Drosophila melanogaster: one gene and its partner. Changing the gene in region 1 together with any one later gene gives a genetic interaction. Each region holds a gene or a part of one and is shown on either strand. Other genes may lie near its edges. The genes, in order: Osi21 and rdgC.

Region 1 (6,189 bases):
AGTTGATCACTTGATGGAAGCAATGCCCAACGACGAGAACATCGATGAGGAGCTTGAAAGATTTAGGGCGCTTCACAAGCATGGGGATCTACTGAAAATGCTTGACACACAGGGCTTGAAGGTGAAGAAAGAAGAAAAGTCCATGTCTGTGTTGGGTAGCGAAGTGAACGTCTCCACTGCCCCCGCGACGGGACGAGGAGCTGCTAGGGGTCGTGGAACTGCACGAACTCGTGCAGGTGCCACAGCTGCCACACGTGGAAAGGGCCAGCTAGATGTGACAGTCAGTAGTACGGTATGAGATGTTAGCCTTTAGATAAATCTGAACATTTTATATTATCTTCTTTTTGTATCCAAAATAGCGAACTTCCGGCAGGCAACAAACGCTCCTTAGTAGCCTTATGGGCTCTCGTAATACTGCCAGCTATGTTATATCGGATGATTCCGATTGATTTGAATTCCGGAGACCTTGTTTACCACGAAGTTTAATAAACAGCAGTTTTCCTTTTTACAATCTCTAGGAGTACATTTCGATATCGTTTATTTTTTGGGCTTCATTCTCAGGGTTCGCGCAACTGCATAATATGTATTTTAGCCTACAACTTAGGAGCTACATTAAGGTGAACGGCTGCTGTCGGACTCCAATTGGTCCGACTGGATGTTTGGATAGTTTCTTTGGTAGTCTAGCTGCATCAAGACTCCGGCGCCGAAAAACGGCGGAGATTTCTCCAGACACCGCTATCGCCACTGCGCGCACACGCGTTACTGCTGATGGTATTCATAGTAGTAGCGATACGGATCCACCGAGGAGCTGCCACCGGCGGCGGTCACGCCCACGCCACCGGCGCCTGCCGCAGCACTCGTCTTGGACACCGGCCGGATCACGTAGGTGTTGCGTCTGCAGGGGAGCACATAAAGGTAAAGTGAATGTTAAACCAATTCTTTATGGAAATGTAATGTTTTGCAAAGGAAAATATGCAATATTTGACGGAAATACTATCCCATATTTAAATCCTTTTTGATTTAATTACTGGACCTGTTTACGAAGACTACAGCTTAAGGCTTACCTGTTATGTTCACCGGCGTGCACCTGGAAGCTGGTCTCCTCGCTGTGGTCGTGCGAGAAGAGCTTCTTGAGCGCAATGATCCCGGCAATGGTCAGGGCCACCTTGCTGATGACCAGAGCCTTGCCGGCGATCGCGGCCAGAGCCTTCAGACCCAATGGACCAGCGATGCCCATGGCGGTGAGGAGGGCGGCCACCACGTACTTGATGTGACCCCCCTCCTTGTGTTTCTTTTTCTTGTGGCCATGCTCGCGACCCACACTATCCTCACCGCCGCCTACGTCCATGTCGATTTTGAGCGTGTGCGTCCGCATCAGCTTGTCCGCCTTGGAGAGAAGGGCTCGATCGATGGGTGACAGGTTGCCAAATTGACGGGCATCCGTCAGGGAGCCCAATATGCTCTCCGTTTCGCTCTGGTTTTGCTTCTCCAGCGCCAGACCGTCCACTATCTTGATTGAGTCCTGGTCCAGGGCTCGACTAAGAGCATGAAGGGCTTTCTGTTTCAGGCAGCCAATGAAATCGTTTTTGTCTTGGCAATCGTCGTACACCCTCCTCACGAGTGCCATCTCGGGACCCAAGCCCCAGGCTGTTCCCCAATCACCGGGACTGGAGGTAGTTGCGGATTCCACCGCGCTGTGTCGCCTTCTCCTTGGAGTCACTGCCGTTGAGACGGAGGCTACCAACGCCAGAAGCAGCAGCCACTCGAGACGCTTCATTGTGAAGTCCTTGCTGACAAATGCGGTTATCCAGAGTCCTGACCTTGAGAGCTGATCTTCGTTGGCTAATATCCACGTCCACTTGCCGACAATCTGAAGATGCTACTGCAGCGAAATCGCTGGGCGGGCAGAGCTTTTATAAATTGCGATCGAAGATTGCGGCGCACTCAGACGGAAAGAACTGGCGTGTTCGATGGGATGCAGACGGATCTCGGTTGGACCTGGTGGAGCAGCTACTGGGAGGGCAATTAGCACTGGCCATATTTTGTTATGCGTTCGACCGACTCTCCTTATCGTGGTCGTCTGTGGGCGCTGACATGTTTTCGTTACCCAACCACGGATGGATGCCTCTTGCATCTTGTTCAGGTCCCGCGATGGAGCCGTGGAGCTGCGGATCTATCCGCCACAAAGTAGCACTTTTCGATTTCTATACGCCTGTTTGAATGAATGAGTACGATTGTCAATGCATATCATAGAAATACAACAAGGGAAGTGGACTTCACTTAATTTAAGATAATATTTAAGATTATTGTTTGCATCTCAAGCTACTTAAACTATATATTATATAATGGTAATTTGCTAGTTTTGGAACTAGATAGCGAATAGATTCGAATTCTATGAAATATTAATTTCAATTTTAAAGAATATTATATATCTTAACACTAAGGGAACTCTTTTTGAAATGCAGAATATTTTAATTAAAGGAAAACTGTGCTTAAATTTTGAATATGCGTCATTTATAAAACACTGAAATCTTAAACAATATTTATAGATTGTATGTAAGCGAACAAGAAATGGGAATTAAACCAGTACACTAGCACTCAGCTAGTTCTTTAATTCAAATCACCACTGTAGCGATTACTGGAGCAGTAGAACACCGGAACTGCCCAGATATTTTGAATACAAAATACACATTAATCAGTTCTTAGAAAAGAGAGTAGAATTAGTGCCAAGAGTAAATATGGTTAGTAGGATCAAAAAAAATCAGTAGAAGATGCCAGCTGTTCGCCGGAGGCAACAACCGATCCACAGACACTATATCTTTGTAATAACTTATAATATTTAACGATGCGTGCAGCGGAGTGATTTAGCCGCTACTTCGGCTACTGCCCCTTGGATTGGGATCTTGGACTGGGATCTCCGCTGGAATCTTTGCCGGCACATGGTATCGCTCGTGCGGCAATGGTTGTGTTTGTAGTCCGCAAATTGGTTATCATAAATTGCAACTGCTGCTCTTGGACGGAGCAGGGGAATCCCCGTCGATGCCGTGCGGTGATCGCTGCACATTTGGCTCACTGGCCCACTGGGTGAAATTGAGTTGGCTGCAGTCAAGAAATTTTCTTTTCTGCGCACCAACTGTGAAAATCAACAGCTTCCATCCTCTAATGGGTATTTTCCAGCCTAGGGAAGATCACAGCGCATCTGGCTAACTGGTGACAGTTAATCGCAGTGAAAAGTGACTGAGACACTTTCGCCGGTTATCTTTTCCACCCGGATAACGATAATTTCTCTAATTAAATAAATTGGCTTTACAAATGTGCCAGTCTTAAAGTTTTACAAAGTTATTCTGATAAAACATTTAGGTATGACTATGGAAATCAGTGATAAACATAATGATAGAAGTTTTTTTTCCTAAGAATTTTTTGAGATTTGGAATTAGATACTACAATTATTGGTACATTTCATTCTTAATGGTAAACATTTTCTGGGTTTGAATATTCTTACTTTCAGAATCGTGTTATTAACGTAGGTATTTAATTAAAGTAAGTCTTAACTTATGTATCTAACAGTACGTAGAGGATTAACTTCTAGATTTCTTAAGTCCGAATTGAAAAAACTGTTACACTGGTGGGATAATTAAAGTGTATGTGTTATTATCTTCTTGGGCAACTGTTATTAACAAAACTATTGACTGGCAATGTAACATATAGAAGTCACCTATATAAACACATGTTCATATATATATATGTATGTATATGTACATATCTTCAGATGCACATATGAGTGCCACGCACACGAATCCTCTGCTCAAGAGGGCGTAAATAATTTAATACATCAAGAAAATTGGAAACGAAAGTTTCTTTGTTTTGGTTTTGGCATGGCCGCAGCTAACTTTTAGTTTCGATGCCCGTAGTAGATAGCTCGGAATCCTCCCGAAAAGGACGACTCCACCACGGATGGACGGACAATTGTGCGATTTATTTGCACATTTCGGCAGACCATTTGGGATTCCTGGGGCGGTTGGGAGCTCTTATCGTCAATAATCATCATATGCTCAAATTTTTGGCCGCTTAATTGGAAAATTGTTGTTGTTCTTGCGATACGCCTGAGCGATTGGGTGATTGTGTGATTGGATGGCCAGGATCCGGATGGATATGGATGGATAAATGGATGATTGGTTTGGCTGACGAGTGCCGATTGATTGATGGCCTCCACATTGTTCTGCGGCCATGTTGTGATAATATTTGCTCAGCGCCAGTTTGATTGGCATTTTGGCCAAGTGCCTTGTGGTTGGCTTGTATCATTGTGGCAAGTTCAAAAGTTAATAAGACTGTAATAATATCATACTGCTTCATAATGTAAAAATCATACTGTAAGTAATAAATCTTACTATATTAAGAATCAGAAAAAAGGAAGCTGTACATTTTTTCTATGATAAAAGAATGGATATTAAGCAATAATATTAGTAATGTTGCTTTCGCTGTAATTAGCCACTAATTATATTAATATTATATTGTAATTTAAGATGAAAACCATCTTTTTATGGTCAATGGTGGACCAATTTTATGCTATTTTTGTTCTCTTTCCAAAACGCAACTGCGCAAAATCAGAAGAGCTCGTCGAGGGTGGAATATGAGTTCATATCTCGTCATATTTCATAACACCCACTTCCTGTGCACTTGCGTTTTGTGGTTGCGACTCCTTTGTGGGCGTGTGGATAGCGATTGCTACCCATTCCAAAATGGCGACGGACTTTGGGGATTATTTTCCCCGGACAGGAGGATGCACTGCCGCTTCTTTGAAGTTTTCCGTTGAATTGGCAAATGACAGGCGGCGGGATTGGGGGTTAGCTGCTCTTGAGTGTGCAGCACGTTGGAAAATGCTCTCATATCAAAAGAAGTCGAAACCACAAAGAAAATCTCAGCGGCAAATTTTCAGCTACATCAAATCATCGAGTCCCGTATCCGTATTCGCATCCGTATTCGTAGTCGTGCGCCCGTATCTCTCAGCCCTGTTTGCACCTGCACCCCTCCGCATTCCGCAGTGCCCCTGCTTAGACAAAGAATTTCCCCCATTTTCCAACTGCACATCGCCTTTCTCTGGCGACTGCGGTTCGTTCGCCTGCTGCCAACTTTCAACTACTTTCAAAGTTTTCACATTTTAAATTTGTTGGCTTGTTGCTTGTGCTCCGATTTTTCTGCTGCCATTTTCCTCCAAAAGTTTCTTTGTTTTTCTTGCTGCTGTTCTTGAGTGCTGGTCGCAAATTTAACAGTGGAATTGCGATGTAAGCGCACTTCAAAAATATTTCAATACTTCAATATACTTCAATCCATAGAAATCGTTGGCAAAACTAGCGTTTTAAACTGAATTGAAGCATAAATACTAATAATTTTTTCCCTCCCCTTAAATAGGAAATATAAATATAAATAATATATAAAAGTGTGCTTATTCTTCTCTTTTTATATTTTAAAATTATTTCATTAAGACAAGAAATGCGTTGTTACAAACTGTGTTCATACTTTAAAATTTACTTACAAACCTTTTGTACATATTTGAGTGAAGAGACAGATTTGTGAAAATCTCTATTTCCTTGGCCCCCATGAATATAAAAGGGCGTTGTACCTTTGCCCTGCACAAAACTCAAATATGAAAGGATATATGGGCTGACTACGGATCCCTGCTCCTCCCTCGAACTATGCCACATGCTGCGGTCTTGGCCAAATTTGCTTGCACTACATATTTTGAAGTTTACCTTCGGAACACTTGCTACTCTATGTTACGATGTATCTATCTAATAAGCTCGGGAAATCCCCATCCTTGAAACGATTCGGTGTCGATGGCTCCTTTGTCTCCCTCATCGTTATCGATTGCGCAGCGAGTTGAGCTGGAAAAATGTTTTCGCTTTATCTGCGAGGTGGGCGTGGCAGTGGGTGGAGGTGGCGGAGAGAAAAATAAATTGTTGCAAACACAAACAGAAATATAATTTTGTTGCCTCGCATCGCATCGCATCTACATGGGCCACATATTTATGGCATGCCAGCACGTACGCGATATATTGCAACCCAATCGCTAGACGAGATGAGGCGGAGGGCTCTTATTTATTTGGTAAACTTCGTTTATATCGCACACAAACCGAACCAAAACGAACCAAACCGGGGGAATCCCATACCATTCAGCGCGCAGGGAAAGCG
Region 2 (7,475 bases), on another chromosome or scaffold:
ATAAATGTACGGGCAAACAGCCATTTGTTTAATATCTAAAATTTGGGGGGAGGGGGGTGTTGAAACCCAGCACATTGGAGACGAAAGATAAACCATTTCGATTGGCCTTTGTTTTCCCAAAGGGAAATTTAATTTAACGTATTTCAACTGAGTACTTTATTATTTTAAGTACTCATTCAGAGAAAAACCGCTTTATAACGATCTTGGTTTGAGTATGTCGCTTTCAGAATCTAGCCAAAATCGAAACATGCTCAAATACTTAGATCGAGATTAAACCATTCTCATATTGCAAATGAGAGCAATCATATATCATATATCATATATCATATATCATATATCATATATCAATATCAGCATTGAGATCGTTTTCGTCTCGAAATTGAGAAAGTTTCATTTCACGAGAATGAGTAAGCTCGGTTTTTTGTCGTTCCCAATTTTTCTGGATGAGTTTATGCATCTATTCAATTATCAATAAAGTTGAACAATAAATATGTCAATATTCATATGCTCGTTTATTGTTTCGTGATTGCATAGCACTTAATATTTATTCTTTCTATTAAAAACACTTCCCTTGAAATCATCGTTGTCAGTTTCGACATTTTAAATTGGTAGCCAGCAAATGATGCCCAAAACTGCATTCTGTTTCATGAGATAAAAGCATTAAAAACAGTTTGCATTAGTGCCAATTTCGCAGAGTGTGTTGCTAATTTGATTTCATTCTTTTCGTTGCAAATTGTTGAGCTAATTACGGGCACTCACAAGGTCAGTCGTGAAGTTGATTCACTCAAATTCTTCGACAGGTAATTTAGTTTGCCTACGCTACTAATTAAGTTGCCCCAGTCAATTTGTAAGAGGGCACGTGGTACTAGTTGTATATATATGGTAATAGGTAGGGATCCGAAGGACCTGCAAGGACCTATTGCCGCTTCACGCGCTGCCCATAAAGGTGTTCCGTTCAATTTTGCACTTTTACTACCCGAAATCTCCTTTGGGGTAGCCATTAACAGGGCGGCAGTTTTAACGACTTTGGAATGATGTCAGCTCGGATGCCGATGCTCGTCATCGTTAAGGACCGATTTGTTCTTTTATTTATAAACCAAATTGGGAATTAACGCAGATTGAGCGTTGGGCGCCGACACCTACAGCCATATGGACTAGAATTTCTAGCCAGCTGTAAGAAACATGATTTATTCACACCAAATACACTCGAAAAAGAATATACCATATATGCAAAAGATGAGTTGGCACTTTAAGAAAGAGTATATTTGAAATATGCTTGAGCTCGATTGCATCGCTTATGAGGCAATCCGTTGATTGAGGTTCTGAAATAAAGCTTTTATATTCCTTTCTTCACGATGACTATGAAATTTAAGAGAAGGATTCGATGAAAAGGATATATTTCAAGAGCTGTAAAACGAGTCTAAAAGTGGGAAACGTTTATGGTTTCCGTGCGAGTAGGTGCAAATGTGTTTGAGGAGGAATGGCGAGGAGAGAGCTTTTCTCCCAGTGTAGCGCAAAAGATGTGAGCCAACACTGCGGCTTAATTGCCATGGAAAAGTATCCGAATACCGACCTTATGCCATCGTTTTGGTTAACAAATCAGGCGTGAAAATGACGGCACCTCGGCTCCTCGGGGGATGGAAGCTAAACTGCTTAATTTAATCGATTTTCGTTAAGAGTTTTAAATTTCTTATCTTGTTTGGGTAAACGCATTTAGCGACGGTTACTCATCGTGCGGGATTGGTTTAAGTTCCATCCGCTATTCTTCTAATACCCTTCTGCTTTTTGGTTTGATGCAACTAATTGGATTGTTATTACTTCAATCCCAAGCCTAAAACTTCAAAACTTTAAATTAAATACACCTTAATATATATATCTTGGTACAGCTTTAAAAATTTGCCATTTCATTTGAAAATACAATACAGGCGTGGTAAGAGTGTGCGTATCTAAAGTAATAAATAATAAACATAAGAAATTATGGCAGTAAATAACTTTTTTATACTTTTAAAGCTTAAATTTCAGGAAGATGTATCTCCCAAAACTTGTAATTATTTTCCAATTTATCCGTACTTATGTATGTTATTACCAAAAGCATCTTGGTTATCAGCCTTAAGTTAATTGCTTTTCGGTTTTAGTCCGATTTCCGTCGACTGGCAACAAAACTTTCGAACACCCGACTTAATTCGAGCCAACATTGTGGACTGTGGGCAGACTTTTCTTGCCGCAACTTTCTACCCAATTTAAATGACTCTAAATTGGCATTTCGTGCTAAGAAAACACCAGAAACAAGAACTCCGAGGAGCTGCTCTTTACGAGTTTTTCGGTGACCGTGGAAAACTGGGGATACGGAAACGGAAAAGCCATAACAAAAAAAATTTAATCGGAAGTGGTGAGAATTTTTGGGGCTGCTGGCGTGCGACTACCAAAAAAGAAACCGCCGGGAATTCGTGCGAAAAAATAAAAAGCAACTCAACCGAACTGTGGGAAAAATAAACGAAATCACGAATAAAAGCAACTAAATCCCAAGGAAACAAAGAGCGAAGGGAAAAAAGGCTCGAAATCAAATGCCAGACGTCATCGAGATTTGTTGCCTGTGAGGCACATAAAACTCATTCCCATTCAGTCACTTTTACAACCTCCAGGAGTTGGGCGGTTGCTAATCCTCCAGCCGTACGCCACCCGCCATCCGCCAATTGGCCCAAATCCGAGTGGGCAGGTGGCCCCAAATTATGAATGTGGTACAAGGAAGCGGGCACACGGTAAGGGACCTAATAAATTCCAACTCGGATTCAATCCCCCATTCAATTCATACATACAAACGTGTCCGTGCATTTGTTTTTATGAACACTTCCATGTTTCGGTGTTATTCTTGTATCATAACAAATTGCGTTCAAGTTAAGTTGGGTTTACGGGTATGGAATGTCAGAATTTCTTCTTTTAATTGCTATACAAATTGGCCGTAGAAATCTACATACTATTGATTGGGCCAATAAGGTAAACCAATGATTCTAGAAATATTCTTGAAATAGAGAATGTGCCTTGAATGTAACGAAAAATTCAATAATAATAGTTCAAACAAACATCAAGAAATTGTCTAAGCTTGAATAGAAATTCGATAAATATATTAAAAGCTTTATGTTGTTTGCTTAAATAAATTTGTACAAATGATAGTTTCACTAAAGTCACTTAAAGTATTTCTCTGAAATTTCATCACCTTTGAGTAGCCCAATGCTTTTAATTTACATTTTTCCCCTAGTCTGCTCTGCTTAGTCTTTTGTTATTGCTTTTCCTTGTTTGTTTTAAAAACACTGCACTTGTGTGTCCTCAATTTCGAAAAAAGTTTTCACACCGCCAAATGGGTAAGAAATATACATACTTGTATCTTAGCAGAATACTTGTCGTATACGTAATAAACATACGAACAGGCAAATGGATAAGTGGACTAGACAAATATTGCGCTTACTCGTGTGAAACACAAAATATCATGAGTAATTCATATGGCAAACACCTCTGGATTGTAATGGAATCGTTTATATATTATTAATTTGCTCCTTGCCTCATTTCTTTGTCTGCTAGCTGTCATCGCCTTCGATTTCATTCCGTGTTATTTTTTCCATTCAACCAGACCTTCTCTTTGGCAACATAAGTTAAAAAACCACGAAATATATCTTGGGCCGAAAAAGTGACACCATTTTTTTCTAAAAACATTTTCAGTTTGTAGCAGTTTTTATTTTGTAAATTGTTCTAATGGATCATTTAAAAAAATTGACTGGAATATATGGAATATGCTAAAATATCTTAAAATAAGAAGTAGAAACACGAACTCTCCCTTCAGCTTATTTTGCATTATTTGAATTCATAGAATACAGCTTTTCTTTTCGGTGTACATTTGATAGCAGTACTATTTATACATGTGTGTATAGAACGTATGGAAATGCATGTTCTTTCGCATATATGTACATTTGTATGTGAGTATATTTTCGAGTGTTTCCCATCCGCCGCGCCGGTCGATTTTACTTTTTTTTTGCTGATCCGATTTAATGCGTGGAATTTGTTAGTAATTTAGCAAAACGACGCACTAAACGGAAGAGCGCGAATAAAAAAAGCCATTCGGTTGGAAAGTTCTGTCGGCACTAAGGATGCGACCATTCCGTGCCAGCGGCACAAGTGGCCATAACATGAAGGCGTGAGCGTAAACAAACACAGAAAATTGGTCGGTCCAAAAGAGAGATAAACAGCGATGACAATAAGATATGTACATGCATGCATATACAAATGTACATATACATACATATGTCATCTAGAAGGCGGCAAAAGGCATTAAATGAAGCCACACACAAAAATTCTCGCGGTGACAGATATAACCAGAAGAACACAAAAGACGGGAGAGGAGGGATGGCAAAGGCATATGCTGCTTTTGGTTCGGAAATAGCGCGTTCTGTGCGGAGAGCATTACGTATACGTACTGGTGTACGGGTACGGATCGTCGGGAGCGCGACGTTTTGTTATTCGAGCGTCCGTGGCGCGTGGAATACCGTTACAAACTGAACGCAGGCCACAAGCTCGGAAATCCTTTTTGGCCTCCGCTGCTGCCTCCGTCGCTGCCAAAGGCTCTGCTGCTGCCACGGCCGGCGTCGCCGCCGACCTCTCACTCGCTCCCACTCTCGCCATATTCGCCGCCATCGCCATGCTGCCCGAAAGCAAAACAAAGAGCGATGGCCGCATCAGCTGATTGCCCCGTTTCATTGCCATTCCCGTTCATTTTGCAGCGGAGGCTGCGCACGGCTCTCTCGCTCTCTTCTATCCATTTCATCTACACTGGAAATAGCACGGGTATATCTATTCCTTAAATTGTTAACGAATTTCGCAATTGTTTCATCTGCGTAATTAGTATTAAAGGAAAAGGCAACATAAATATGAAACCAAATGTAAATGGTTAGTATTTGAATAACAGCCATTTGTGAAATCAATCAATATTTTTCTTTCTGTGCAACCCAGAGAGCGAGCAGAGCAGCGATGCTAATCCAAAGATGCCAAGTTTGATAACGTCCTCGTGTTTGCATTTTGAATTTATGATATGCATCTTCCAGTTAAAACTTCAACCAGACGTGCGGCTGATGCTGGTTGTTTGGGAAAGAAGAAGTAATACTAAATAGGGGAATCAACAAAAAGCCATTAAGACAGATTTTTTTTAGATTAAAGGGGTTTCTTCTTCAAGATACGTATGTACATCTTTAATTGTTGAACAAACGAAAAAGTATTTCATCATTCGATATTATTCCTTTTTTTAAGTTTTAAAATTTATGATAAAAATAGTAATATGAAAATGATAGACTTAAATACGCTTAAAAAACTACTTCATATATGTACAAGATTCATGGGATATAATATCTTGGAATCAATTGCAGATGTAATATTATAATTATCTATTTAATGAATTTTGCAATATTCAGCCGAGCATTTCTGGCACCTGTTTGCAAAAAGAAAAGAAGAGGATCGATGGTTATAACCAACAAGTGCGCCGTGTGACTTGATATTCTGTTGATATGTTCCACTATCGTTACACAAAACCCAGAGCTCTGTTATGGTTCCGTTCTTGTAGTTATATTGATTATTTGCTCGGTTCCATGGCCTTTGGGGTGTCGTATACTCGTATGTGTTTTAATAGTCCAAGTGCCGCCAAGCCTTCCGTTGGCCATTCTGTGTGATTTTGGGGCTCCGGCCTCGAGGGGATTTTGTAGCTGAAACTCACGAAAGCCCCAAAATGAGTGCTGTCCCCTTGCTCCTTCACGGTGGTTTCACGATTTTGGGGTTTTCGTTGGTCGTAGCTTTAACTTTAATGGCAATTAGGGCCCAGAGCGGCTAACCTGCTATTAGTGATTACGGAATGCTCGGTCCCACTTCAAATTCAGTTAGCAGATGTGCGTGCGGCACAAGTTTCCGTTGCAATTGGTAAACTTTGTCTGCATTCTATGCATACAAATACAAACAAGAAGCCGGGCCAGATGAAGATACACAGCCTTTCAGATACTAATCCCCTGATTCTACATGCCTAAGATACACGATTAGATGGTCGTCCGTGTTGTTCCTTAGACTTCCACTTCTTCAGAACTCTTTAAGCCGGAAAGATTTTAGCTAGTGGAATTGTTGAGTTAGTTTAGGTGTAGGAAAGAATAATGTAAGTCAAATAGACGAAAACTCTAATTCTTCGTTTTCCACCTCAACAATAAAACACTTTACTTTACCAGCCAGCTTGACCCATCTTCTCTGCATAACCGGTTCTTACCTTGTGGCCCGATATTGAAATCCGCCGGACACGTTTCAATGCAGCCTGCAGACAATAGTGCATGGAGGCTAGTAAGGGTCACTCGGCGATTTCCGATAGGTCGAGTATCCTCGCTGTTCTTCTTATTGGCATCCTCGTCCTGTTTCGCGCACTGTTTTGCATATTCCAGTGCTAATGGCCGGTTGGCCGGTTGGCCGCACGCCACTCTCACCTGAATGGCCTGGTTGGCTGGTTGGTCAGGTGGGAGCTCCTTCGTGCTGGCATGCCATTGAAAAACATCCCATAAACATTTTGCTCAGCCCGGTATTTAAAATGGCTGCATGCGAATTTTTAGCCAACACAACATCAAAGTTCAAAAGTGGCTAACTTAATTAATTTAATGTGTGGGCCAGCAATAGAATTTTCAAGGTCCTTTAATTACGGAGCTATAAAGTGGCACAGAGTAGTTTCCATTACACATATACCCTGTTTTTAATTTTCGATCAGTATAATTATTAATTTAACTTTTTAGGAATGAATTATGGGATTTAATTCCAAGATTCAATATGAAAATACCATGTACTTTTACCTGAGTAGAGCACTTCCATGGCGCTTTTGGTCTCCGGTGGACACCTGTGCATGCTAAGAGTCTCACCTGACAGTCTTCTGTTTGCCAAGTCAATTAGTGCAAGTGAACACTCTTCCCAAATGGGTACTAATTAAAAAACATTTTAAGTATCTTTGCGTGCGGATAAAATGAAGCGTCTAATCGTTTATGCTCTGCAAAAAAGGAGCAATACTCAACGAAAAACTATTGTTTTTTATTCCCTATTAGGTTAGAATATGTACGTTTTGGGATCTAGATAAGTTCTGCTTTTGATTTTGACTATACTTTTACGAACATATTTGAACAAACGTCAAAGGAAGTGGTCAGATTCAATGATTTACTGGATTTTGATTTTAATATCGATTACAGGGAACTCATTTTCCGAAGCATTTTTCTGACTCACAGATAGAAAAGAACATCGTTTTACGTTTTGCTTTTTAGTTAAACTGTATTTTTTTATTTATATTAGTACTGCCAAACTAAGTATAACTTAATTAGCATGCTATTAAATTTATTTATCATTTGTCTACATATTTAGTCCGATCACGTCAAATTTACTTTAAACACATTAAAAGTTGTCAAGATAGCTAAGATTGTATTAGT

Evidence for each region.
Region 2: of Osi21 (region 1) and rdgC, changing one suppresses a phenotype caused by changing the other (phenotypic suppression), as found in Drosophila melanogaster (one study listed by BioGRID).

What each region holds. Positions count from the first base shown.
Region 1 is NT_033779.5:11,283,827-11,290,015, forward strand, and holds Osi21 (osiris 21), read right to left. Parts: upstream 1,881-6,189; 5' UTR 1,778-1,880; coding exon 1,065-1,777; intron 896-1,064; coding exon 760-895; 3' UTR 501-759; downstream 1-500. Other genes in the region: mre11 (meiotic recombination 11), read left to right, coding at 1-292, 360-449.
Region 2 is NT_037436.4:20,245,142-20,252,616, reverse strand, and holds the start of rdgC (retinal degeneration C), read right to left. Parts: upstream 4,538-7,475; 5' UTR 4,292-4,537; intron 3,990-4,291; exon of another isoform or gene 3,557-3,989; intron 1-3,556. UniProt on the Drosophila melanogaster protein: Phosphatase required to prevent light-induced retinal degeneration.